2 linked regions of the Danio rerio genome follow. The protein of the gene in region 1 interacts with the protein of each later gene in a pairwise test. Links are inferred from orthologs where the notes say so. Each region holds a gene or a part of one and is shown on either strand. Other genes may lie near its edges.

The links.
Region 2: the proteins of atxn1a (region 1) and eif3f interact in binary tests that used the Homo sapiens proteins (3 or more experiments, as listed by UniProt). The link is inferred for Danio rerio from reciprocal best matches to the Homo sapiens genes ATXN1 and EIF3F.

Annotation. Positions count from the first base shown.
Region 1 is NC_133194.1:34,918,339-34,925,927, reverse strand, and holds the end of atxn1a (ataxin-1a), read right to left. Parts: intron 7,400-7,589; 5' UTR 7,088-7,399; coding exon 5,303-7,087; intron 3,013-5,302; coding exon 2,452-3,012; 3' UTR 87-2,451; downstream 1-86. UniProt on the Homo sapiens protein: Chromatin-binding factor that repress Notch signaling in the absence of Notch intracellular domain by acting as a CBF1 corepressor. Binds to the HEY promoter and might assist, along with NCOR2, RBPJ-mediated repression. Binds RNA in vitro.
Region 2 is NC_133176.1:11,700,229-11,708,489, reverse strand, and holds the start of eif3f (eukaryotic translation initiation factor 3 subunit F), read right to left. Parts: upstream 5,314-8,261; 5' UTR 5,287-5,313; coding exon 5,175-5,286; intron 4,996-5,174; coding exon 4,925-4,995; intron 3,787-4,924; coding exon 3,707-3,786; intron 2,553-3,706; coding exon 2,415-2,552; intron 31-2,414; coding exon 1-30. UniProt on the Homo sapiens protein: Component of the eukaryotic translation initiation factor 3 (eIF-3) complex, which is required for several steps in the initiation of protein synthesis.

The sequences.
Region 1 (7,589 bases):
TATAATCCAAGTAAAACTCACACACACAGGTCAAAAGACAGAAGTGGAGACATTTCCAATGGAAAAAAAGGGAAAAAAATGCATGGTTGTGGTGTTGATCTGAGAAACCCTGTTTTATTATAAAAAATAAAGCATTTTCAAATTGTATATGGGGTGCACTCACTCACCCACCCTCCACCACTCATTAAATCCATTCATTCATCTTTTTATTCTCTACTACAACCCATCTTCCTGCCAGATTTTCACCTACCCAAGTTAACTTGAGCGTGGCCACTCGAACGACTTGACAAGTATGCAGACTACAGGCTATGAGCGAACTCTTCAACACAGCACCGTGCAAAAATCCTGCTGATTCAAACCCTCCAGAAAAGGAGCTTCCTGGTTTTCCTAATGAAAATGAACCTAACAGACCCGCGAACTAAACAAACTTGCCAAGAAACTGCTACATTTCAGTAAAAATCTGGTTTTCGGCCCTGTCTGTGCTGGCAGAAAACAAAATAAATCATGTTACTATCTCTCCAGATGTGCAAATTGCAATATTCTTTTAAGTAGAACTTAAATATCTATTTATAATATGTGTGGTATGTACACACACATGCACGCACCCAAACACACACGCACTCACACAAAACTGAAATGACTACATGATTGCTTTCACATACGTTCGATGAGTCAGTGTCTTGGGGGACGGGACTAAAAACGTGCTCATGTAGTCTTGCGCTCTCATACAGTAAGATAGATATAGCATATGCAGTTCTATACACGTTAATGTACAAAAAATACATGACATGTCTATTTCAACATGACTGAAAATCACCGTAACCGTGTGTACATGTGCATGTGTGCGGCTGCACACAAACTCGCATGCGGGCACGATCACACACATTGCTAACAAACAAGTATATGACACTCTTCGATCCTCCAAAGATTACCGTAGCCAGAGTTTCTCACTTACACTTTGTCTCTCGTATCTCTCGTAAATATATAAACAGTCTCTGTACGTATTTCCATTCCATCCTTATTCGCATTCATACTTTCATTCGACTCGCTTTGAATGACTTAAATGGCAGTTGTTTCGTCATCTTTACTCAACTTGCTTGAGATGGCTTAGCCAATCTTTAAAAAAGTGCTTCCTTTAAAGCAATCCTCATGAGGACAAAATCTCTCTTTCTTTGATCACCTTTTACATTCATTCCTTCACTGTGACCCTATCGTCTTTCCAGAGTCACTCAACATCCAATTGATGATACAGCATACAGTACTGTGTTTACATTGAAAAAAATCAACAGAAAATAGTTGTAGCATTAATAATAACAATAATAAATCATTATTTCATTCGGTTGATTGAAACTACTATCAGTGACAGGCGTATTAGTTAAGTGCTTCAGCACTCACACCTCATCCTTCGCAGCCAACTTTCCAACTCTTTCTTTCAGAATAATCAACGTTCTCTTCTTTAAACGAAATCAAAACAGCCGAGACTGCACTAAAACAAAAGACTGGTCGATTTCCTCACCCATTGTGTTTGTATGCATCAAGATACATCCATGCATATATATTCATAGACAAGAACCCATTCTGTGTCTACATACAAAAAAATGACCCCTGATTGCAAGGTTGACACATTCATCACAAAAAAAGGGAGGGAAACATAAGAAAAATCTACCCATCAGGTATGATAGGAGGGTTTGAAAAGTAAGACATGCAAAACTACAAAAATAGTCAAATAAAAGGTTAGACAGTTGGATATATAAAAATAGATTCGTCCATCTTCCCTGTTTAAAGTGATAGTTTCGTCTTTTCTGAGGAGCAAACTGGCACCGCTCAATGACATCATCTCTCTTGGCCTGTACCATAGTATTTGGAAACTTCTTTTTGCACTTCAATAAACGTTAACAGAATCTTTGCTAGTCTAACTGTGCTGACCATACTGCTCTATATTGTTAGGATCGATTTGGATAGTCTCTTGTAGTCACAGTTAAACAAGATGGCTGACATCATGTAAACTCCTGCAACCAGTGGAGGAGTGATTTCCGTTCTGCCACCACATTCACACCACTTGTTCATCTTCCCTTACTAACATTTTTAGGTTCAGCAAGCGAATGTTTTAATTGCCACTAAGTGTCGTTTGTAAGCCAAAAGAATTTTGTAGGTGAGAGACTAGAGAGACGTCTTGTCAGCTGTGAGTAATTTTATATGCCGGAGCCTTCAGGATAACATGCCGTCTCACAACCTTCTCACCTTGCTCTACATCCACCTTGAATTTGACCAATCAATTGAATTGCACCAATTGCCTGTGTAAAATTGAATTCCTCAATTACAATGTTAGATGTGATAACATAGATACTGAGTAAATTTTGCCTTTAGGAAAAGAAATCTGGACAACAGAACAATTAAAAACATTCTGAGGGCAAATTTTGCAATTTTAAAAGCAGACAGTCCGACGCATGTTCACTTTCCAATATTTGATCTGCCTTCGATACTGATTTTAACCTCCTGAGGGATGAAAGAAGGCTTAGGGAACGTTAAAGGGGGCTCTCCTTCTGGATTTTCTACTTTACGACCCTCAGGGGCAGACCACCTTCTTTTTCGACCTGTGGGTTTACTGCTGGTCTCTGATTCTGTGAGTGTTGGAGCTTTGCAGTTGTCCCTTTCACCAAACCTCAGTTCTCCGTTTTCTCTATTGCCTTGACCGCCTCTACTTCCTTGATCTGCACACTGCCCGAGTCCATTTTCCTGTTCTGTGTGCCGAACACCCCCTCGTGCGCCACTTGAGAGTGCTTTTGGTGATTTAAGAGGTGGACCGAGTGCAGGTGCATCCAAGACTTGCCCCTGGCTCTTCTTGATGGAACCGTTCCTCAGGTTCTTCAGGGTGAGGGAGATGCAGACGTCACCCACTGAAAGCTTGGTGCATGGCAGCTCGAGCAGCTGAGTAGTCCGATCCGGACAACAAGATGACCAGCCCTGGCCGAACACAAAGAAAGGATACTCTACTAGTACCTCCACACTGACCTGCAAAAGAAAAAGGGAGTCAAAAAGAGAGGACAATGACTTCCGAAAGTAGAAGTCGTGCACAAATGCCTGATGATATGAATGAATGTCTTTGCTAAAAAGCATCTGTTAATCAGTGCCTCTCGAAATGACAGACTTTAGAACTGCTTTCGAGTGGGTGGCCCCATCTCAACTCCCAGACAAATGAAGCAGATTTTTCATACAGCCCACTCACAGTACAACAGAAGGAAGCAGAAATAAGGAATGACTCAATTCTGCCAGTGAATCCCACACAAACTAAACAAAGATGCCATGGGGACAGCCAGGGGAGGGATTATGGAACAGGGAGATGATTTCAGCTGCCAATTTGCCCCACATCTACTTACACTGATTGAGTGCAGGTGGAGTTCATATAAGGGGACATTCACACTCTCACAGCATATAAAAATATAAACTTAATGACTACCATATGCTTATTCAAAGCGAGATGATGAAGTTGCACGGAAGATGTAAAGTAAAAAAAAAAAGATCCCTGGGCAATTGCAAATGCTGTAAAGATTTTTAACTGACAATTGTTAAACATGAAATTAAATTACCCATCTTTGGAATCCATCTGCATATTATGAAACCGTCATAATATTTGGCCAATTTGCCAAGATATTTCAACTGTAATCACACCTCATAAAATGGCATGATTCAAATAACTGCAATTTGGATTCTAATGTAAATGATATACTTCAAATATGCACTGTATATAATTAAAGGTGCAGTAGGTGATCTGCCAAAACGATAACCCCTTAGCATATTATATTGGGACGGCGGGGAGGGACTGTGATTCAAAGCTACACCCCCTGAAATCGCGAGCGCGCGCACCGCGTTACAACAGCAGACAGACAACCCACTAGTTCATGTAATTCGCCAGTTAGTCAGTGCCAGTGCTGTGCGGGAATTACATTTATTACTTAGCCACACTTACATGCTATTTCAGACAGATTATTCAGAGTAGCATGGTAAACAGTATAGGAAGGCTGTCATTGTTCAAAAATGACCCAATGTGAATATAAAAGCAACTTCAGCTCAATAAAGTAGGCTAGGCAAAATAGCGCTATTTACTGATGTTTTCTTGTTAAACTAAACATAAATCTACATCAGTGGTCACCAAACTTGTTCCTGGAGGGCCGGTGTCCTGCAGATTTTTGTTCCAATCCTAATCAAACACACCTGAACAAGCTAATCAAGGTCTTACTTGGTATACTTGAAACATCCAGGCTGGTGCGTTGAGGCAAGTTGGAGCAAAACCCTGCAGGGACACCGGCCCTCCAGGACCGAGATTGGTGACCCCTGATCTACATCATCGATGCTGTAAAAGGACCTTATGAAACTGAAAATAATCACATCAATCTTTCACCGGGAGATTTCAGGGTCTGAACAACACGTCTGTGCATATAAGTCATTCATAGCAGAACACAATCTAACATAAGCTTAGCCTGACTAAAATAGTTTTAAAACAGAACATTACATGTCTAACAGTAATACTTCAGCCATGATGTCGTCCTTCCACCAGCCTGCTAAAGTAACTCCAATATTGATTCAGGTTTTTAAAAGTTTCAATTAAGCATTTGATTTCTACCGGTCCGTCTCGTGACCGCGCGGCCGCTTATGCAGACGGGCACGTCCTAATGGCGGATCTGCGTGAACAGATGCGCAGAAGTCCGAATCTACATTTGCTGACAGACAGTCTGACCTGCTTATCGGAATTATGGGAGATGTCGGTCTGACTCTATTTAATTGGATGAACATTTTTTAGTTTTATGCCTTAACCAGAATATAAAAATACATATAAACACATTTAGATTATTTACTGTAATCATTACTATTGGACTGTAAAGAGACTTTCAACCAGTACAACAAAAAGTGTTTCTGAAGACAATCACCTACTGCACCTTTAATAACAAACAGTTATGGAATGTTCATATAAACATTAAAAAAACTCGTTAAAAATGCTAATTTCAGAGATGGCAAGAAACAAACGGAAGTTATGGTTCATAAAGATTGGCAATATATAATATATGGAGGACAATATAATTGCTGTACACACACCTAAAACTTAGGCAAAGGTCAACTCCATTAGATTTTTTTTTTAATAATAAACCCTTTACTACCACGTGCAGACATGGTACACAGTGTTTGATTAATATCACATAGTCATCAATCTCAAGTTTATTTCCCCGCTTATCTTTGTGCATAAGAAAAACAGATACTCAGATGTGTCTACAAGCAGCAATGTTAAATAGAAAACTTATGAACCCACCTGTGAGCGTTGCGCTCCTACAGCAAACTGTATTATAGCAAAGTTAGCTGTATGACTGCTGTCGATGCGCTCTACAGTGCTGGAATCAATCTTCAGCTCGTTGCTAATCTCAGCACTCTGAATGAAATCCTCTGTTTTCAGGTCTTCCACCCGCTTCAGTTCCCCATCTGCCAATTGGATGATGGAGCCCTTGGTGAAGTAGGGTGGCATTGAAGGAGCTGAGGGTGGGGGTGGAGTTGTCAGCAGGCCAGCAGGTGCTGGAACCACAGGCAAATGCAACTGGGCTTGAACCATAGCTGTGGCAGGGTGGGGGTATGGAGCCGGAGATTCAAAAGTTTCCACTTTGGGGGCTGTTGAGGTGACGAAAGCATGGGGCAGTGCAGCAGTTGATGTAGCGGTAGCTTCAGTTCCACTTACTGGGATGATGACCGGCTGAGTTCCAGGGATGACCAAGTGCTGGGGTAAGGTGGTGTGGTAGCTGAGAGGCTGCTGGTGCCCTGTGCCGGCAAAGTAACCAATGATAGGCTGCTGGGTGGAGTAGAAATTAGTGGAGGGGAGGCTTAGAGAGAGTGACTCTGTGCTGTTAAGTGTGGTCTGAATGACTGCATGAGGAGACTGCGCTGGAACTGCTCCCTTAAGATTGTCCACAGGTGGAGGGGGAAGAGCAAATGAAAGGGAGGAAGATAAGGAGGAACTGCGGGAGACAGGTTTGCCAGCACAAATCCCTCCTTTTTCATGGTGGGATGTCGAGGGAGGCAGCTTGTCTGATGCACCTCCAGAATCAGCACTAGTGGAGCTATGATTATTAGGTACCAGCACCAATGAGGTCCTCATGGCTGTGCTGTCCTGCGTGTACTCGGCAGGTAGCACAACATGTCGAGCTTCAAAGTGACGTGGGCTCTGCTGCTGGTGGATCTGGTGCTGCTGGGCAGAGGAACCCCCTTTGGCAGTGCTGCCCTGCTTCCCTGCACTGGACTCAGAAGATGGACCAAAACGTCTGTCCTTCTCCAGCTCTCCATTCAGCAACTCCCTGGTCCTCATCTCCTCCCTCTTGGGTAAAAGACTTTCTGTGTATGGGACTAAGACCTGTGAAGGGCCACTAAGGGGAAGTGTGTGGTGAGGATGTAAATGTAGGGGCAAGTGTGTATGCGGTGACGAAACAGTTCGAGGGGATATGCTTAGTGGAGAACCAGCAATTTGAACATATTGAGTGGAGTGAGGTGAAGAGGTGTTGTCAGTTGTGACCAGGCCTTGAGGACGGCCCAATTGGTGGTGCTGATCAATTTTGGATGCTGGAGAACTGGAGGAGCTGGCATAAATCTCACGTTGTGTGGTAGTGGTGGCAGCTAAAGGGGGAGCTAGTGGAGAGATGTAGCCAGCGTATGGTGCAGAGTAAGGAGGGTTGATGAAGTGTATATTGTGAGGGAGGGGTGTGTACTGGATTGCGCTAGGAGAATGGGAGAGAGGTGATGTGTACACTGCAGGTATGGTGGTCACTGCAGATAGAGCTCTGGTTGAGTGTGTGGACGAGGAAGGTGTGCTCTCAGCCGTGGCTGACAATGGTTTATATTGAGGCCCATCTGATTCTGCAGACGTGCTGGTGTGCAGCCGGCCTTTGTCATGCCCACTGGCCAGACTGGCAAGCCAAGCCAGGTTCCCTCCACGCTGGCTCTCATTGGCAGGCGCCATCACCATGGGCTTCTCCTCTGAGGGCAGAGTGCTTGCTGGGATTTCACGCTTCTTTGGGGGCAGGCATTCATTGCTCCGCTCCTGGTTTGACTTCATGGTGTCTGAAAATCTTGAACCACTCTTTCCGGATTTTTCTTTCCCCTTTTTTGGCTCTTTTCCTCTCCCTCCTGGTCTCCGTTTGTCTTGCTAACAGAGTGTGCCCTCCTACTGATTGGCTTGGAGCGAGTATGGGAATGGGGTAGAGAGGAGAGTGGTGGTGAGAGGGGATGTGTCCTGTGCCTATGGTCGGATTGACACAGATTTCAGTCTTAAGCAATTGAAGTCACACCTGCTGCGGGAGAGCGGTCCATGCAATTCATGTGGAATCATTTCCTTCCGAGAGAGAGTCTCCAGGACTGCAGGAAGAACCTGAAATATAATAAAGAAACATAATCAGGTTTAATGCACAAACATAATTTCAGCAGCTTTTAGATGATAAAGCCATGTAAACTGAAGAAAATGAGAAACCAAAAAATGAAGGCTGTAAATATTTTGTGCATCAGGATTTATTTCTATGCCACAGTGGTGCTGAATGGACAAATAGCTTGCAGTCGTTTAC
Region 2 (8,261 bases), on another chromosome or scaffold:
ACGGTCTTGCCTGGCACTCCCATCTGTGAACTAACAGCACAACCAACAGAAAAACACTGTTAATGAAGAAGAGCAAATCTACCTCTGAGAAGGGGGTATCACAGAACATGAGTTCCAGATTAGGGTTGGGCAATGTCGACCAATTGCATGATATGTTGTCTAATGTGAAACATTGCAATAGACAATGACATCGTTGTCAAATTAATTATTTATGAAAAATTCATTAATTCCTAACAAATTAAATTATTTGTAGCCTACCGTTTTAACTACCTGACCCGTCTTTGTTTTACCCATGACCAATTTATAAATAAATAAAGATAAGTTACACACAAATTACCACCTGTCAATCAAAGGGACTCAGGCATGAATAGATAAAAAAAGATGCACAACCAACAGGATCTGAGGTTTTCGATAAAATTACTAAGTACAAGCGTGAAAGTGAAAGATTGAAGCAGTGTACTGACGCTGTGACCCATTCTCTGACAGATTGAAAAGACAGAAGAGTCGTTAGATAGAGACCAGATTAATTAAATATCACGTTTAACAACTATAGTGAGACACAATGCAGCGGTACATCCTTGACAAACTGACCGACATGGACTGCTTGTGTGTGTGTATGTAGTCACGTGATGTGCGTTTTCAGCGGTATAGTGTGGACGGAGATCTGTTCAGAAAGGCTAGGTGCAACGCCAGTGTGGACGTGGATCGTTTCCGTTCTAAAATGCCATTTTAAAACTAAGACTAAATGGAGCCTAAAGGCTGATTATTACTTCTGTGTCAAGCTCACGTGTATACTATGGTGCAGCCTATGCGTGGAGGCGTAGCCCTGGCCCTGGCTAACGTGCACCTCTCCAAAAATGTAACTACACATTGCAACGATGTGTAGCGTTAAGCTCTGTGATTGGTCGGCTTGGTACCGCGAGTGTGGGCGGGACCGAAAGCCGCGCGAGCCCAATAGAGCAATTGTTTACAAGTGTGGAGTCCCGTGAAGGACCTCTGGATGGAAAGTTTTGTGTTTACCTTACGGATAAAGTTGTTGCATGTCCGCCGGTTCCTGCCTCAAAATGAGCGAGTTTGAACCACTTGTAAATTAAGGAAGCGTTCAGAAAACACAAAACACAGGCGAAGAAACTCGACACAGAGGAACATTAACACCTCACTGCCAACTTGCGTTTGGGAAGTGTTATTGCAGAACAACAGAAACAGCGTGCAGAAGGATGAATAAGTATAATATTTTGTACTGTAATCATGGCAAAAATGAAATAAGTTATTAGAGATGAGTTATTAAATCTATTATATTAAGAAATGTAATAAACAATCTTCTCTCCGTTAAACAGAAATAAAAAAGACCTACAGTTTCGAATAGAGCTGTGAACCTACACTAGTCTCACAGTTCGGTTCTGATTATCATGCCATCAATTCGGTTGAATTCGATATTTCGGTGCATCACGGTGCATTGACGGTGCTTTTCATACAGAGTTTTATATTTTCTTCACAGCAGCAGTTCTTGTATTAAAATGTATGAAGTTATTTATATTTACATATTATTTGTAATACAATTTTGTCATTTAATGCAAACAGTCAGATATATAAACTGTAACTTTAAACAAAACGAGCATTAAGCAAATAATATAAACAAATATAAATATCAAGCTCAATTTCTGATCCTTGTCTAGTTCTCTCACACCTCTTTGATTGGTCACACCCTCAACAAACACGGTTGCGATAAAAAACGTAAGTGCTGCGCTCTTCACAGATGAGTGACACTGATAAGCGGCAGGGGCGATCTCACAGCTGATGTATGATAGACATGGTGGAGAAAACTCTGAAGACACGCGCTCGGTTCTTTAGCCACTGTGTGTGTGTGTGTGTGTGTGAGAGAGAGAGAGAGAGAGAGAGAGAGAGAGAGAAATGGAGTACTTTCATTCTCTCGATCTCAGTGAAATAGTTGTATATGTCAGTGAAAGACTGATCCAGCAAACACACAGTGAAATCGTGCACAGTTTATGAGTTTTAAGTAGTTAGAGCGTTGTAAATACTCACTATCGCCTCCCTCATGACAGAGCGCATATGAGGTAAATGACGTCAGTATTAACCAGTTATGATTATTACTGAACCGATACCAAATTGTCCATGTCTGCATCGAGGTGCACCGAAGAAACGATTAATTTTGACACCCCTAGTTTCTGACTTAAACTGTATAAATTATTATATCATTTGCTATAAAAAAATCTTTGATAATATAAATATAAACAAGCATTTTCTATATATGCATATACGTGGATACATGCATTTATTTATACCCATAACAAATATGCACAGATAGTACACAACATTATTATGTAAACATAAAATTTTAATTCATAAGCGATTATTGTACACTAGTCAGCATTTGTTTGTTGTGGTTGTGTTACCTGACGTAGGCCCGGATGTTCATTTTGTTGCTCTGCAGTGCCGTGTCCACAGTGAGGTGAATAGGGTTTGGAGCCTCTCTGCTGTAATACTCATGGATCAGAACCGAGTGCTCAGTGATGTCAAATCCTGTGGCATACCTGCAAAAACAACACAGCCTCTTTCTTCAGTGAAACAACATTCCTTAAGTTTATCTGAAATCAGATTCTATTATTATATTTTGAAATATTTTAGATAGTCATTTTTGTAATATTTTCCATTTTAAGTTCTAATAATTCTGTTACCTGTATAATTATTCTTTTTTGATATATAGATATAACCTACATTATGGAAGCTACCCTGTCACAGTAATCAATATATGAACTTATCGCATTGATAAGCCGTGTCATATTATATTGACATGACCTCAGACATTTTTAGTGATGCAATATATATCGCCCATACATAAAAATGAATTCTAGCAACATTTCAGCTGGTTTTGCAACATCTCGATCTCTATTGAGGTGTCAGTATGGTTTAAAAAGCTCTACAGGTTTTACTATAAATTGCTATAGAAGATTTTCATGTGGGTGTCTGACAACTAAAAATAGATCTGCTAGCAGATATCACAGCTTCTGTTACTTTTTGCCTTGCACCTTTTTGTTAACATTTATTATTATTTATGATATGCGTTTTTACAATCTCATTCCAAAGCCATAGGATAACTAAATTAAATAGTCTTAACAATAAAATATTATGTGTTCTTTGTATGAGTGTACTTGCATTGTGGTGATATTATATTGTCATTCTGGTATTATATAATGAGTGGCATAGAATGGTATTAAAATCACAATAAAATCATTTATCGCAATGTATTTTGGTGCAATATACCGTACAACAAAAACTAGATATATCGTGACAGGCCTAATGGAAGCTTGCTTTTACAATGGAATAAAAGGCAAATATACTTAAAAAAAAGAGTAGCAATATAAACTGAACTGTAAGAACAACAAATGAAAATGAAATGAATATCTGAATTGTGAAATATAAACTTGTAAACATGAGATATACATTTAAAATGGCTGCAAAAATAAATCATGGGACTGTAGGAGAAAAAAATATCATTTTATTTAATTTTCTTATTTTAGTTATTTTACCATAGCGCAAAGCAAAATGCATTAAATGAAAAATAACAAATGTTCACAAAAGTTTCTAAACCTTCTAAAAATATAACAAAAAATGTGCTTACAACAATAACTTAACAAAACTTTAGCAAAGAAAAGAATTATATTAATTTGGAAATGCGGCCACATACCATCCAACAATGACTTCACTCGGCGAAACCTTCTTATGAAGCTCATACATGTTCTTGGCGAACTCCATGTCAACAGCCACCTATTTAAAAAAAATAAAATAAAAATAATTTTAAAAGGTAAATAAATTGCACAATGATGATGATTAAATGCTGGTGCTCCTTAGTAAAGCATAAATAACATATGGTACATGTCCAAAAATACAGTAGCATGTAACATGACACTTTTGAATTAAGTTGGTTTTATATTTGAACATTCAGACACTCGTGTTCAATAAAATAGTAAAGCAAATTTTAAAGAGGCTAATACAGATTCATTCATTTTCTTGTCGGCTTAGTCCCTTTATAAATCCGGGGTCGCCACAGCAGAATGAACCGCCAACTTATCCATCAAGTTTTTAAGCAGAGGATGCCCTTCAAGCCGCAACCCATCTCTGGGAAAAGGCTAATACAGATAAATTAGCAAATTGTTATAGTTAAAAAAAAAAAAAAAAAGCTTATGAACTCTATGAAAGGTCCCTACATTGTTTACCAGGCTACATTGAATAATCGGTCTGAAATGCATGACTTCAAAATAGGCATGGGACGATAACCGTTTTCAAGGTACACAGTGATTTAAAAAAAAAACTGATGTTTTAAAACCGCCAAAATTATCTGCTATAGATGAATTACCAGTTTGTAAACAGTAAAAAAAAAAAAAAAAACTGGAGCGCTACCATTTAGCAGAGCCGTAATCACTATGTAATACTGTGAAAATGTGATATTTATATTAAAGAATATTAACGTCAGAATTGTATACCGGCCCATGCCTACTTTAAATCCACATTAGCACCATTTAACTGACTGTAAACAATGTTGTACTTTAATAGTCACTGGCTGTTAATTTGAGTTGACCGTTTAGGATTTGACAAAGAATACCTTTCTGAAATTACATTAAGAAGGTGAAAGTCTGAATGTGCAAATATAAAATCAACTTTACCTCACTTCAATTTTGGCTGATGGTTTGTAAGTGTATTTCAACCAATCAATTAGCTAAAGATGCATAACAACAGAACATGAAATACCACAGATGTCTCACTCGAACCCTTTAGACCATTACAAAGTTACAGTGAGATACCTGTGATGTGAAATTGTTTTGTTTTTCGTTATGCCTAAAAAGCTACATAAATGTCTGGCACACACTAATGTAAAGGATGTATTAGATGATGCTTTTTTTCTCACCTCATCTTCAGACTCGTTGTGAGGAACAGAGAAGCAGTTGGTGACATCGACTGAATGTTTATCTGCTGTTCCTGTTTGACACACAAACACAACCACCAGGTAAGTGATGCTGCTGATCTGTACAGTTTCTCATCCACCCCAGCCATTCAGCTCGACTACAACACATGCTCCACAAGACCAAGCGACGCTCATGTTGTTTGTAATAATCGCAACTGTCTCATAAATCTCACACAAGAATTCAATGACCCACCTAATAATGTCCCGATCACGCGACTCGCTCCTTCATTCCTGCGCTCGTATGAGTCCACAATCGAAGCCAAAACCACCGGGTGGATTTTCACGACCGGGCCGTGCACCGCCATGATTTCGAAGAGGAAGTAAAAGATGATGATAAACAGAGAAGAAGAGCGCGTCAGTGGGATTCGCGCTGCCGCCCCCTAGCGGATGTAGGTGGCTGACAAAATAATGTGTAAAAAATTATAATCAAATAAATAATTAAACACAGCATGTAAAGTTTTAGTGGGTGGGTCAGGTTAAAGTTCTTCGAGGTTTGCTTGGTACATATCCATTTTTTCAATGGACAATTTAATAGCAACACAACTGCATGTTAATGCCAAAAATCGGATCAGCTAACCACATGGCAGCAATCCAAAACATTTAGACATGATGAAAACATGGCCAAGACAACGCACATGAAAAGATAATGGAGTAATTCATAGTAAATTGGCTACGATAGTGTTTTTGAAACAAATGATAGTAAAGTTTATTATACTGTAGGCCTATACTATAAAGTATTAAGTTAACAACACATGCTAATAAATGCTACTGCATTATCTATAATAAACTGTGTAGGCAACTGTAGTATATTTTAGTTTTACAACAGTAAATTGTGATGTATTATCATGTAGCCTAATATATAACTAACCACAGGCTATTGGGCAACTTGTTTTGCTATAGGCCTAGTTGTTGTAATAACATATCATTTAGGCCAGAGGTATCCAATCTAGGGCATGTGGGCCAAACTTGGCCCTTGATAATCTTTGATTTGGCCCACCATCCCATCTGAGAAGAGAGACTGATAGGGAGGGTTGGGACAATTGCCTTTAACAGAGATCTTAATTTCTAATTTAACGCAACCTTGGTTTGTTTGATTATTTTATTGCTGATCTACAAAAAAAAGGTAAATGAAAATAAACAAGTCAAGGCAGAGGGTGCAGCTTTACTAGTGTAACTCCATTCTGTTTTAAATGAATTTTGTTTTACTATAAAAAGTTCATTATACAGGTGAGGCAGTGGCGCAGTAGGTAGTGCTGTCGCCTCACAGCAAGAAGGTCGCTGGTTCGAACCTCGGCTCAGTTGGCGTTCCTGTGTGGAGTTTGCATGTTTTCCCTGCCTTTGTGTGGGTTTCCCCCACAGTTCAAAGACATGCAGTAAAATGGGTAGGCTAAATTGTCCGTAGTGTATGAGTGCGTGTGTGAATGTGTGTGTGTGGATGTTTCCCAGAGATGGGTTGCGGCTGGCATAAAAAACTTGCTGGATAAGTTGGCGGTTCATTCCGCTGTGGCGACCCTGGAATAATAAAGGGACTAAGCCGACAAGAAAATGAATTAATGAATGAAGTTCATTATATAATAAAATCTGCATAAGATAATATGAAGCAATGTTAAAGTTATTTTTAAATATTAAATTAGGAAACCACCAATGCAACTTTAATGAAATAGAGTTTGGTATGTTTACATTCGGCCCACCACCCTCAATCAAGCCCTTCATAGGAAAAAGTGTGGGCACTTAATGTAATTTCAGTGAGAGACATTATTTACATTATGTCTTTGGAAACATTTGAAAAATCTTTGTTATTTAAAAAAACAACATGCATTTTGGACTACTGGTGGTGCCTTAATTTTAAGTTTCAGATGGAAACGCTGAGTTATATTGACACTGCCTGTTGATATTTTTACATCAAAATAACTCAATATTACAAACATAAGAACAATTCAAATATTAGTATCTGCCACATTGTGTGTTTTTTGGTTGCAACTTTCAGACATGTGGTTTCTGACTAGCGACTGCTGTCTTGCACATAAAATAATGAGTGGCTTAGTCCATTCATTTATCAGGGGTTGCCACAGCGGAATGAACCACCAACTATTCCGGCACATGTTTTATGCAACGGATGCCCTTTCAGCTTCAACCTAGTACTGGGAAACATCCATACACACTCATTCACTCACACACGCACACACACGCATGCACACACACACACACACACACACACACACACACACACACACACACACACACACACACACACACACACACACACACACACACACACACACACACACACACCAGTGAACTTCTTGCTGTGAGGCGACAGTGCTAACCACTGAGCCAACATGTCGCCCGACCCCCACACAGTAAGTCCAAGATAAGTGTGTTTTTAAATGATAAACACCATTTACATTATATTAGGCCAACTACCCAGGGTTTCTTTTAAATTCCTTTGGGTTTCCATTACCATTTTTAATGCACATTTTGAAGTATCACATGAGAAACAAGTAATGGAAAAGCTAATATTAAATAAAAGTAGGTTAACAAAAAAAAGGTTTTACAGTTGTAACATTTGCTAAATAATCTCAGATATAGCGAATATTACAATATAACCAATCAGCTGTCTCCATTATGCTAACCTTGTTTACTGTATGTTATAATCAGCCACTCTAATAAAAAGCACCTTATTTAACACATTTGAGATATTGCCTTTCTTTTTGTTCTTTAAAGACTTGCTTCACAATGCAACCCTGGCTTTGTGTGGATTGCCTGAGCATATTTCAGAAACTGCAAAGTTTCAGGGATTTTTTTTCACTCACAAAATACCAAGGGAGTGACATTTCTCATGGGTGAAAATGCATTGTTGATGCCAGAGGGAAGAGGCGAATGAAAATAAGCACTTGTTACAATTGAGTTCTGCAGGAGAGCATCTCTGAACACAACATGTCAAACCTTGAAGCTGAAAACTACACAGGAGACACTCCTGTCAGATAACAAAAGAAACCGAGGCTACAATTCACCAAGATACACTAAATTAGACAGTAGACGACTGGAAAAGTGTTTATCTGGCTTGACGAGATTCGAATTCTGCTTTGACTTTCAAATGGTAGTGTCAAAAGAACTGGCATGAACCACATGAAAGCATTAAGCAGTATATGAGAAGTTCAAGAAAGAGCATAGACCTGATTTATTCTAGTTTGATTTAATTTCTAGCTTTTATTAAAAATAATTATGAGTAGATTCACATTTTTGCATTAGGTGAATTTTTAGTCATTGGTTAATCACA